Nothobranchius furzeri: one gene and its partner. The protein of the gene in region 1 binds, or shares a complex with, the protein of each later gene. Links are inferred from orthologs where the notes say so. Each region holds a gene or a part of one and is shown on either strand. Other genes may lie near its edges. The genes, in order: naa50 and naa15b.

Region 1 (4,460 bases):
TAGGAATTTGCGTCTATAATGCTGCTGGTCGATTTTCAGGAACATCTGACAGGTTTAATCGACGTTTTTGAAAAACCTAGCTTTATTGACAAAGGACAAGCCATAGACATCGTAGTTTATCCCAGCCCGTTACCTTAAAAACACTGTTAGCTAACTAACTGTGTAGGCAAATACATCATGAAAATGATAGCAAGACTGCTGTCGGCCTTGTCTTAAAAAACTGCTGCCTCTGCCGATTTACCGCAAAATAAACCAAAACGGTTCTATTTTAACCTCGGTGTAAACAAAAGAAGAGGTAGAAATTAACATTTTTTACCGTCAAGTCGTGTAGTGTCCGTTTTGCGTTCTGCCTCGAGAGAGAAGCGGCTGATACTGCGGTGCGTGACAGCGGCCTGAGGTCAGCTGACTTCATTCACTCTACCGCCTCGAATTTTTTTACTGCAGGGCCCTCGCAACAGACGCCATTTTGGATCCGCCCCGGAACTACAGCAAAGATCTTCTATTGTACGAAGATTATCCACTACTTTGACTAAACAGTATAAAACTTTTTTTATACTGTTTGGTTTATTAATTAAAACGTTACCACTTATAAAATGTCTATAATTCTAAAAAAGTTTTAAAAAAATTTATTTATACTTTATTCTGTCTTCATGACGTGATCTTTTTTTAACTTTTCGGTTATATCTTAAGCTCCCCAATCAAAATAGTTCAATTTTCATCATAATTTACAGTAGTTGCTAAAAAAATCTACACTTTGATAAAAGAAAAAGAGAACTACTGTAATCCGGATAAAAAGTAAAGAGCTGTATGTCAAGCTAACGTACCATTTAATATACAGGGTGGTTTAATTTTTTATCCAAAATGATCAATTCATAGAGTTCACGTTTCCTATTTAACACAGATTATGTCACTTTAGACTTACTGGGATTTCATCTCTCTCTCTCTCTCTCTCTCTCTCTCTCTCTCTCTCTCTCTCTCTCTCTCTCTCTCTCTCACACACACACACACACACACACACACACACACACACACACACACACACACACACACACACACACACACACACGCAAATACAGGCGCGCCCAAATTCTTATGACGAGGTTTTATATTATTTTATTATTGCGACTTTCAGGTGTATACAATTGCGTTTTCAATGGACATAAATTGTTTTGTAAGTATCTACAATTAAAAACTATACCAGATGGTTCTGACATTATTTTAGACATCCATAAATAACATTGTGTTTCAAAAATCTCCCTTATTTACTTTGAAGAGACTTTGAAATATCATACAATTATATTTTAATGGTTCTTTCATCAACAACAATTATATTTTACAACTGCCTTCCACATGCAACATTTGTGCGCATGCGTCCGTCAGGGTTGACACAGTCGTGGTAGAAGTGTGGAGGCTAAGCTACATGTGGAGGGTAAAACGGGAGGTATCCCCGACCCTAACTCTGTCAAAATTCCCATCTTTTACCAGAAACATCGCTAAAGTTAAACCCAACCGTAAATAAGGATATTATCTTTTTAAAATGAAAGGGTGAGTTTAAGCTTTTTGTGTCACGAATATGTAGCTTAGCTTGAGTAAAGTTTTTCAGGTCAAGGGAGGCGGGCTGGACACGACGAGGTTAGCTAGCGCGCTAAGCTGATTTTATTTAGCGTTCAGTCAGAAACACGAACGACAGCTCAGTCATTGGAGCAGCTTTGTTGAGACAGGTCTGACCTAAAGCTGCTTTTAGTTTCGTTCAGATCGAAAACTAAGCTAGGCCAACCAGTTAGGTGCCTGTGAGAGCTGAGTCAGTAAACCCCGTTAAGCTAAGCTAAGCACAGACACAAATCTATGGAGATTTTTGTTTGTTGTGAACTTCTGCTGCACAAAACATTTTAACTAAATCAGAGAAGTAGCTGCAGATTCGATTTATGTCAAGTTAGAAAGTTCCAAGTGCTTCACTCTGAACCTCAGAGTCTGTGCTAACTTCCTTTAGTGTAACTTGATCTGTCAAGAGTACCAAGATGTGATTTACAACATAACTTTAATGTCTGTTGTCTTATTCTAAATCCCCATGAGCATTATTGAAGCCGGGCTTTGTTTAATCACCGTGATGGGATTTCATTCTTCATTCTCCATCACGCGACTTTCAGCTTTCTGGAAATACAAGTGGTCCTATAAATACTACACTGACTGAACTCCTTTGCTAGACCAAGAGAATGGATGTTTGCTTATAACAAACCTGATTGAGTCACATGACTTGATCCTAACTGGCGTAACATTATTTTACTTGGTAAAGAGCTAAATCGTTATTTTTAAGTCTAGTCTTTGCCACCACCTTTTTCCTCCAGTCTTGTCTGTTTTTGCAACAAATTATGCAAAGGTAATACTAATATATGGGGGGAAATTACCCTGAAACACAGGAGTATGTTAATGTTAAGGTTAATTCTCAAGCATGAAAATTTACCTGCGGATTTAAACATAAAAGTGATGCTTCTAAAACATTTCACTTCAGAATTTTCAGTTATCTTTTATGCAAGAGATGCACTGATTTTAGGTTTGAAAGCTGAAAATGATTTCTGACTTGTGCAGCTTTGAATTGCTGATGCAGGTTTTGGAAGAACTATAATTTAAAAAATACTTTATACATACATTTTTTTAATATGAAAATTATGATTCTGGAAGCAAACTAAACGTGCACACGAAGTAATTGTTATTCCAAGGGTGAGTTTATGTCTAGCTGTGGTGCATTCACAGACCTGGGGAAAAAGTATGATTTTATTCTGCTGCTTCAAATACCAAAAAATACAGTTTTTGAGTTTAAATAGTTAAATATTGATTCATTCTGATCACCAGCTGGTTTTTGAAGTGCATCTCAAAGTCTGAATACTTCTGCAGTGACACGTAACAAAATATTTCAAGCATTTTAGTGTTTTTGGAAGATACTACGACACCAAATGATCCCTCTTCAATCTAAAAGGCACCTTGGCTTCATTTGTGCACCTGTCGTCAGCCAATTGACCGTTTTGCTCTTGTTCCAGTAGCCGGATCGAGCTGGGGGACGTTACGCCTCACAACATAAAGCAACTGAAACGCCTGAACCAAGTCATCTTCCCTGTCAGCTACAACGACAAATTTTACAAAGATGTACTGGAAGTGGGGGAGCTCGCAAAGCTAGGTGAGAAAAAATGATTCAAGTTGCATTCAGATCATTTGTGACTGATTACCTTTAAAAACACACACATCAGATGAGGTTGATTCTGGTTGTTATAGCAATAAATCAGTCATGTACATGAAAAGTCCTTTTTACTGAAAAATCCAATTAAATTAACTTTTAAATGTCTGCGTTCATCTGTTTGGAAATCATCAGTTTCCTTTTGTCTCTCCAGCGTACTTTAATGACATTGCAGTCGGAGCCGTGTGCTGCAGAGTGGACCACTCTCAGAACCAGAAGAGGCTGTACATCATGACACTTGGTTGTCTAGCACCCTATCGTAGACTTGGAATCGGTACGGCGTTCTGTTCCTCAAACTTTGAGAATCGTGTTTGGTTTTTATTTCTAAAGTTGTCCTTCTGTTTTCCTTTAGGTACAAAAATGCTTAATCATGTGCTGACCATCTGTGAGAAGGATGGCACTTTTGACAACATTTACCTGTAAGTGCCTTTGAGCAGGACATGTTTTAACTCAAATAAGACCATATTTTTAACAGGGGTGCACTGATTACTCAGTAGCTGGTTTATTAGCTTCCTGAATGTCACACAACTGTTATACAAACGTGTGTTTCTGCTCCAATCTATAAATATTCATGTAAACATTTACACCACCATAGATTTAGCATTACACGGTTACTTACATGTAAACATCACCAGCATCAGAAATAGATTTTCCACTTCATCCAGCAGGTCTTTTATATATATTTCTACAGAAATAACCAGGCTTTACTAAAAGGATGGTGATGTGATTGTTTATAAAATACTTCAGCTCATGAGACGTTGGAGAAACTTTGGACATAAGAGCGGTTTTAACACAACACACTGAATATTCAGTTCTGAAAGGTGGCAGTTTCACTTTTCTTGACTTTTAAGCAGAAATCTGGAGGTTTTTTTCTTGGAGGGTGCCATCTAGAGGTGGAAAAATATATCGCACCCTAAAGTGGTGGTGTGTATTATCTCTAGCAATAGGGGGCAGTACATACCTAAATCATTGCAAGTAAGTTGTATTTTTGTTTGAGTAAGACCTTAACAACGGATGGCCATTAGGGTCAAAATCCCAGGGAGCGCAATTTTCAAACAAGTACTCCATCAGATCGTTCATCCTCCAGCAAAACCAAAAGCACATCAGATTTTCTTTCATCACTGGCAATGAGTAAAGAGGTTAATGTATAAAACCGCAATGTTTATGAATGGCAAAAGTTTTGTAACCGCTTGTCACAATTCAGAAAATGAATTTTGACCTTGTGGGTTCC
Region 2 (3,816 bases), on another chromosome or scaffold:
AGGATATAAACGTTACAGATACTAATGTTATTGGTGTGTAGCTCACCTTGTAAGATGTCTGACTCCCATGTAGAAGACCTGGGTTTGAATCTGGGTGTGATCATAGTTTATTTAGAGATTCTTTTTTACATTAATGGTATATTTTTTTACAGTAAGACGCCCAAATTTTTATTTGAGACTCGCCGAACGGCATTGAATTCACGGATAAAAAAGATGTTGGTTCAACTTTCATTTTGGAACAATTTTTCAAGCAAGGGAAGGGAATGATCTGAGCATGCAGGAGGACTGACCCATCATAAACCTTTGTCGCTGTGCTGAAGAGAAAGGTACAGAACCAAATTATTTAATTAATTAGCTGCGCGTTCTCCTGTCCTCCGGGACACACACACACACACACCACGCACGCGTGCACACACACACACACACACACACAACTGTCTCAGCTGTTGTTTTTGTTAAGGAGTGTGCACGTACAGCATGCGCGCCTCGTGCACGAGCCTACTATTGAAGCTGCTGTTATGCTTTTGGCCAGAGGGGGCAATCGCGAGCATAAAAATTCAAAAGTCTGTAAAGTCCCTTAAACTAGTAAAAAGTAACTAGTGTAGTTTCCTGTGAGACCTCCGCGGCTGAGGTAAACAGAACAGAAGATAAACCAGACCTTTTGGAGACACGCTGCATTAATTCTTTGTTTTTATCGTTGGAACTTCCAAAATAACGTGCGGTGTTTCAATTCTCCTGTGGATGTGTGACCTCGTGGAACCAGCTGTGTAAAACGCTTTTGCCCCCGTTTCGCGTCTGAAACGCTCCCGTTTGGAAGGGAGACGCGGGTCAAACGCGTCCTGTTACGTTACACACCGCTTACACATCCAGTGGAAAGGCTGGGTTAGACTCTACCCGAGTTTTGTTTTCTGTTCCCAGGCAGCGTCGAGGAGAAACTAAAGATCTACGAGGAAACCTGGGAGAAGTTTCCCAAAGGCCTGGTTCCTCGCAGGCTCCCCCTCAACTTCCTCTCTGGTGACTTCAATAACACCAGTCGCGTGTTCTTCCCCTGTGTGGATTATGTTTGTTAAGAATGTGTTTGCTTTTGTTCAGGGGAGAAATTCAGGGAGTGCCTGGACAGGTATCTGAGGATGAACTTCAGTAAAGGCTGCCCGCCCGTCTTCACCACGCTCAAGTCACTGTACAACGACAAAGAAAAGGTGAGCGAGATGCTTTCAGCGCTGAAGAGAAGGTCTCAGATTAAAACATTTGGACCTTCAGTGAGTTTAATACTTTTCTTTCCTCAGGTGGGAATAATAGAAGAATTGGTGGTCGGATACGAGACGTCGTTAAAAGGCTGTCGGATGTTCAGCCAGAACGGTGAGAAGGTTTCAGAGTCGCTGCAACAACCAAACGTTTAGTAGCAACTTCAGTACTGAAGGAGTTTTCTGTCCTGGTTGCAGACGACGGTAAGGAGGAGCCTCCCACCACCTTACTCTGGGTTCAGTACTTCCTGGCTCAGCACTACGACGTGATCGACCAGCAGACGCTGGCGCTAGAATACATCAACACGGCCATCGAGAGCACGCCGACGCTCATCGAGCTCTTCCTCATCAAAGCCAAGATTTACAAGGTAACGTGTCACCACCCCGCATGCTGTCACGCTTGTGCGGTGTATCGGAGGAGTTTGCGTTGACCTGTTGTGTCCCGCAGCATGCTGGAAACATCAGAGAGGCGGCCCAGTGGATGGACGAGGCCCAGGCGCTCGACACCGCCGACAGATTCATCAACTCCAAGTGTGCCAAGTACATGCTGAAAGCAGGCATGATCAAAGAGGCCGAAGAAATGTGCTCCAAGTTCACACGGGTGAGAAAACGGTCGCACCCGTGTCTTCTGGCATAAACTGGTTCAATCTGGAGCTTTGGCAAAAATATGTAAACATCAACCAAAGCTCTGACTTATTTTACTGCTTAGATGTAGGCAGAAGCTTTGGGTTTTTTCATGCGTTCGTCTAAAAGTGATGAACCGCCTGTTCCATTCATCCTGAGTCAGGAAGCTGCAGTAAATAAAAGCTGAGTGTCGCTGCAGCAGCATTAGCTCTGCTCCAATGTGCTTTTGTGTTTTCCAGGAGGGAGCGTCGGCTGTGGAGAACCTGAACGAGATGCAGTGCATGTGGTTCCAGACGGAATGTGCCCTTGCCTACAAAGCTATGAACAAGTTCGGAGAAGCTCTGAAGAAGTGCCACGAGATCGAAAGGGTGAGTTGTTCTCACTGTTGCAGGCAGAGCTCAGGATGACCTGTGTGAATTTAATTATTTTCATTTTTTTGTATGAATCAGCATTTTGTGGAGATTACAGATGACCAGTTTGACTTCCACACCTACTGCATGAGGAAGATGACGCTCCGCTCCTACGTAGACCTCCTGAAGCTGGAGGACGTTCTCCGGATGCATCCCTTCTACTACAAGGCCGCCATCTCGGCCATCCAGATCTACCTGAGTCTCCATGAAAACCCTCTGACCGACGACAGCAAAGAGCTGCAGGCGGACACCGGTGAGAAGCTCACTGATGACACGGCTGTTTCCTCATTATTGGATCTCCAAATTAGAGACGTTCAGTTTGTTCCATCCGTTTTTAGCTCCGCCTCTTTCTTGTCTTCAGCAAACCTTTCAGACAAAGAACTGAAGAAGTGGAGGAACAAACAGCGAAGAGCCCAGAAGAAGGCCCAGCTGGAGGAGGAGAAGAAGAACGCCGAGAAGGAGAAGCAGCAAAAGAACATGAAGAAGAAGAAAGAGGATGACGACGAGGAAATCGGAGGGCCCAAAGAAGAGCTCATTCCTGAGAAACTGGTCAAGGTTAGAAACGGGGAGCAGGAGGCGAGCGGATCAGCCTGATCAGACGTCTGACTCGTCTTTGACTTTAACAGGTAGAAAATCCACTGGAAGAAGCCGTGAAGTTCCTGATGCCTCTCAAACAGCTGATCAAAGACAAAATAGACACACATCTACTGGCCTTTGAGATCTACTTCAGGAAAGGTCAGCTTTGGAATATTTCACCCGGTTTTCTCCCGTTTCTTTGTTCTCTCCTTCACACATCCCTGGTGTGTTTTCCTTTTAGAAAAGTACCTGTTGATGCTACAATCAGTGAAGCGGGCTCTGGCCATCGACCCGGACCACCCGTGGCTGCACCAGTGTCTAGTGCGCTTCTTCAAAGGAGGTGAGAGGGGCTTTTGTGACCTCACCATGCCCCTTGTCCCCTCTTCTTCTTATTCACATCCCGTCTGTCTTTTCACTCCTCGAACGTCTAGTCTCGGAGAGCAAGGACCTGCCAGAGGTTGTCAGGACGGTGCTGAAGCAAGAGATCACTCGGCTGTTTGGAGACAGCAATGCTAAGAGCTTCAACCAGGCCTACCTCACCAAGCACTCCAGCTCCATCCCACACCGACTGGCTGGTGAGCATCTTTAGATTCAATTCAGTTTTATTTATAAAGCGCCAAATCACGACAAGTCATCTCAAGGCACTTCACATAATAAACATTCCAATCCAGGTCAGTTCTTTAAGCCAGTCAGAAAAAAATTTCCTATATAAGGAACCCAGCAAATTGCATCAAGTCACTGACTAGTGTCAGAGTCTTTACAGCAATCCTCATACTGAGCAAGCATTTAGCGACAGTGGAGAGGAAAACTTCCTTTTAACAGCAAGAAACCTCCAGAGGATCCTGGCTCAGTATAAGCAGCCATCCTCTAGGGGTGGGCGGTATAAACGGTATACGGTAGAAATGATATTAATTTGGCCAATGGTAGCGCATGTTGATGACATCATCAAGCGGCGTCTGTTG

What was found.
Region 2: the proteins of naa50 (region 1) and naa15b are in contact, whole or in part, in a cryo-EM structure (PDB 6PPL), measured with the Homo sapiens proteins. The link is inferred for Nothobranchius furzeri from reciprocal best matches to the Homo sapiens genes NAA50 and NAA15. Residues at the interface, in NP_079422.1 of Homo sapiens: Arg5, His14, Asn15, Lys17, Gln18, Arg21, Leu22, Val25, Phe51, Asn52, Ile54, Ala55, Leu80, Pro82, Tyr83, Leu86; in NP_476516.1 of Homo sapiens: Pro369, Pro370, Thr371, Leu374, Ser403, Thr404, Pro405, Thr406, Leu407, Ile408, Phe411, Glu433, Ala436, Leu437, Asp438, Thr439, Ala440.

The regions. Positions count from the first base shown.
Region 1 is NC_091747.1:50,849,100-50,853,559, forward strand, and holds the start of naa50 (N-alpha-acetyltransferase 50), read left to right. Parts: upstream 1-1,376; 5' UTR 1,377-1,537; coding exon 1,538-1,545; intron 1,546-3,035; coding exon 3,036-3,172; intron 3,173-3,383; coding exon 3,384-3,503; intron 3,504-3,581; coding exon 3,582-3,648; intron 3,649-4,460. UniProt on the Homo sapiens protein: N-alpha-acetyltransferase that acetylates the N-terminus of proteins that retain their initiating methionine. Has a broad substrate specificity: able to acetylate the initiator methionine of most peptides, except for those with a proline in second position.
Region 2 is NC_091746.1:82,172,343-82,176,158, forward strand, and holds part of naa15b (N-alpha-acetyltransferase 15, NatA auxiliary subunit b), read left to right. Parts: intron 1-918; coding exon 919-1,014; intron 1,015-1,092; coding exon 1,093-1,199; intron 1,200-1,286; coding exon 1,287-1,359; intron 1,360-1,442; coding exon 1,443-1,612; intron 1,613-1,692; coding exon 1,693-1,845; intron 1,846-2,107; coding exon 2,108-2,236; intron 2,237-2,317; coding exon 2,318-2,531; intron 2,532-2,639; coding exon 2,640-2,833; intron 2,834-2,904; coding exon 2,905-3,013; intron 3,014-3,095; coding exon 3,096-3,194; intron 3,195-3,285; coding exon 3,286-3,429; intron 3,430-3,816. UniProt on the Homo sapiens protein: Auxillary subunit of N-terminal acetyltransferase complexes which display alpha (N-terminal) acetyltransferase (NAT) activity. The NAT activity may be important for vascular, hematopoietic and neuronal growth and development.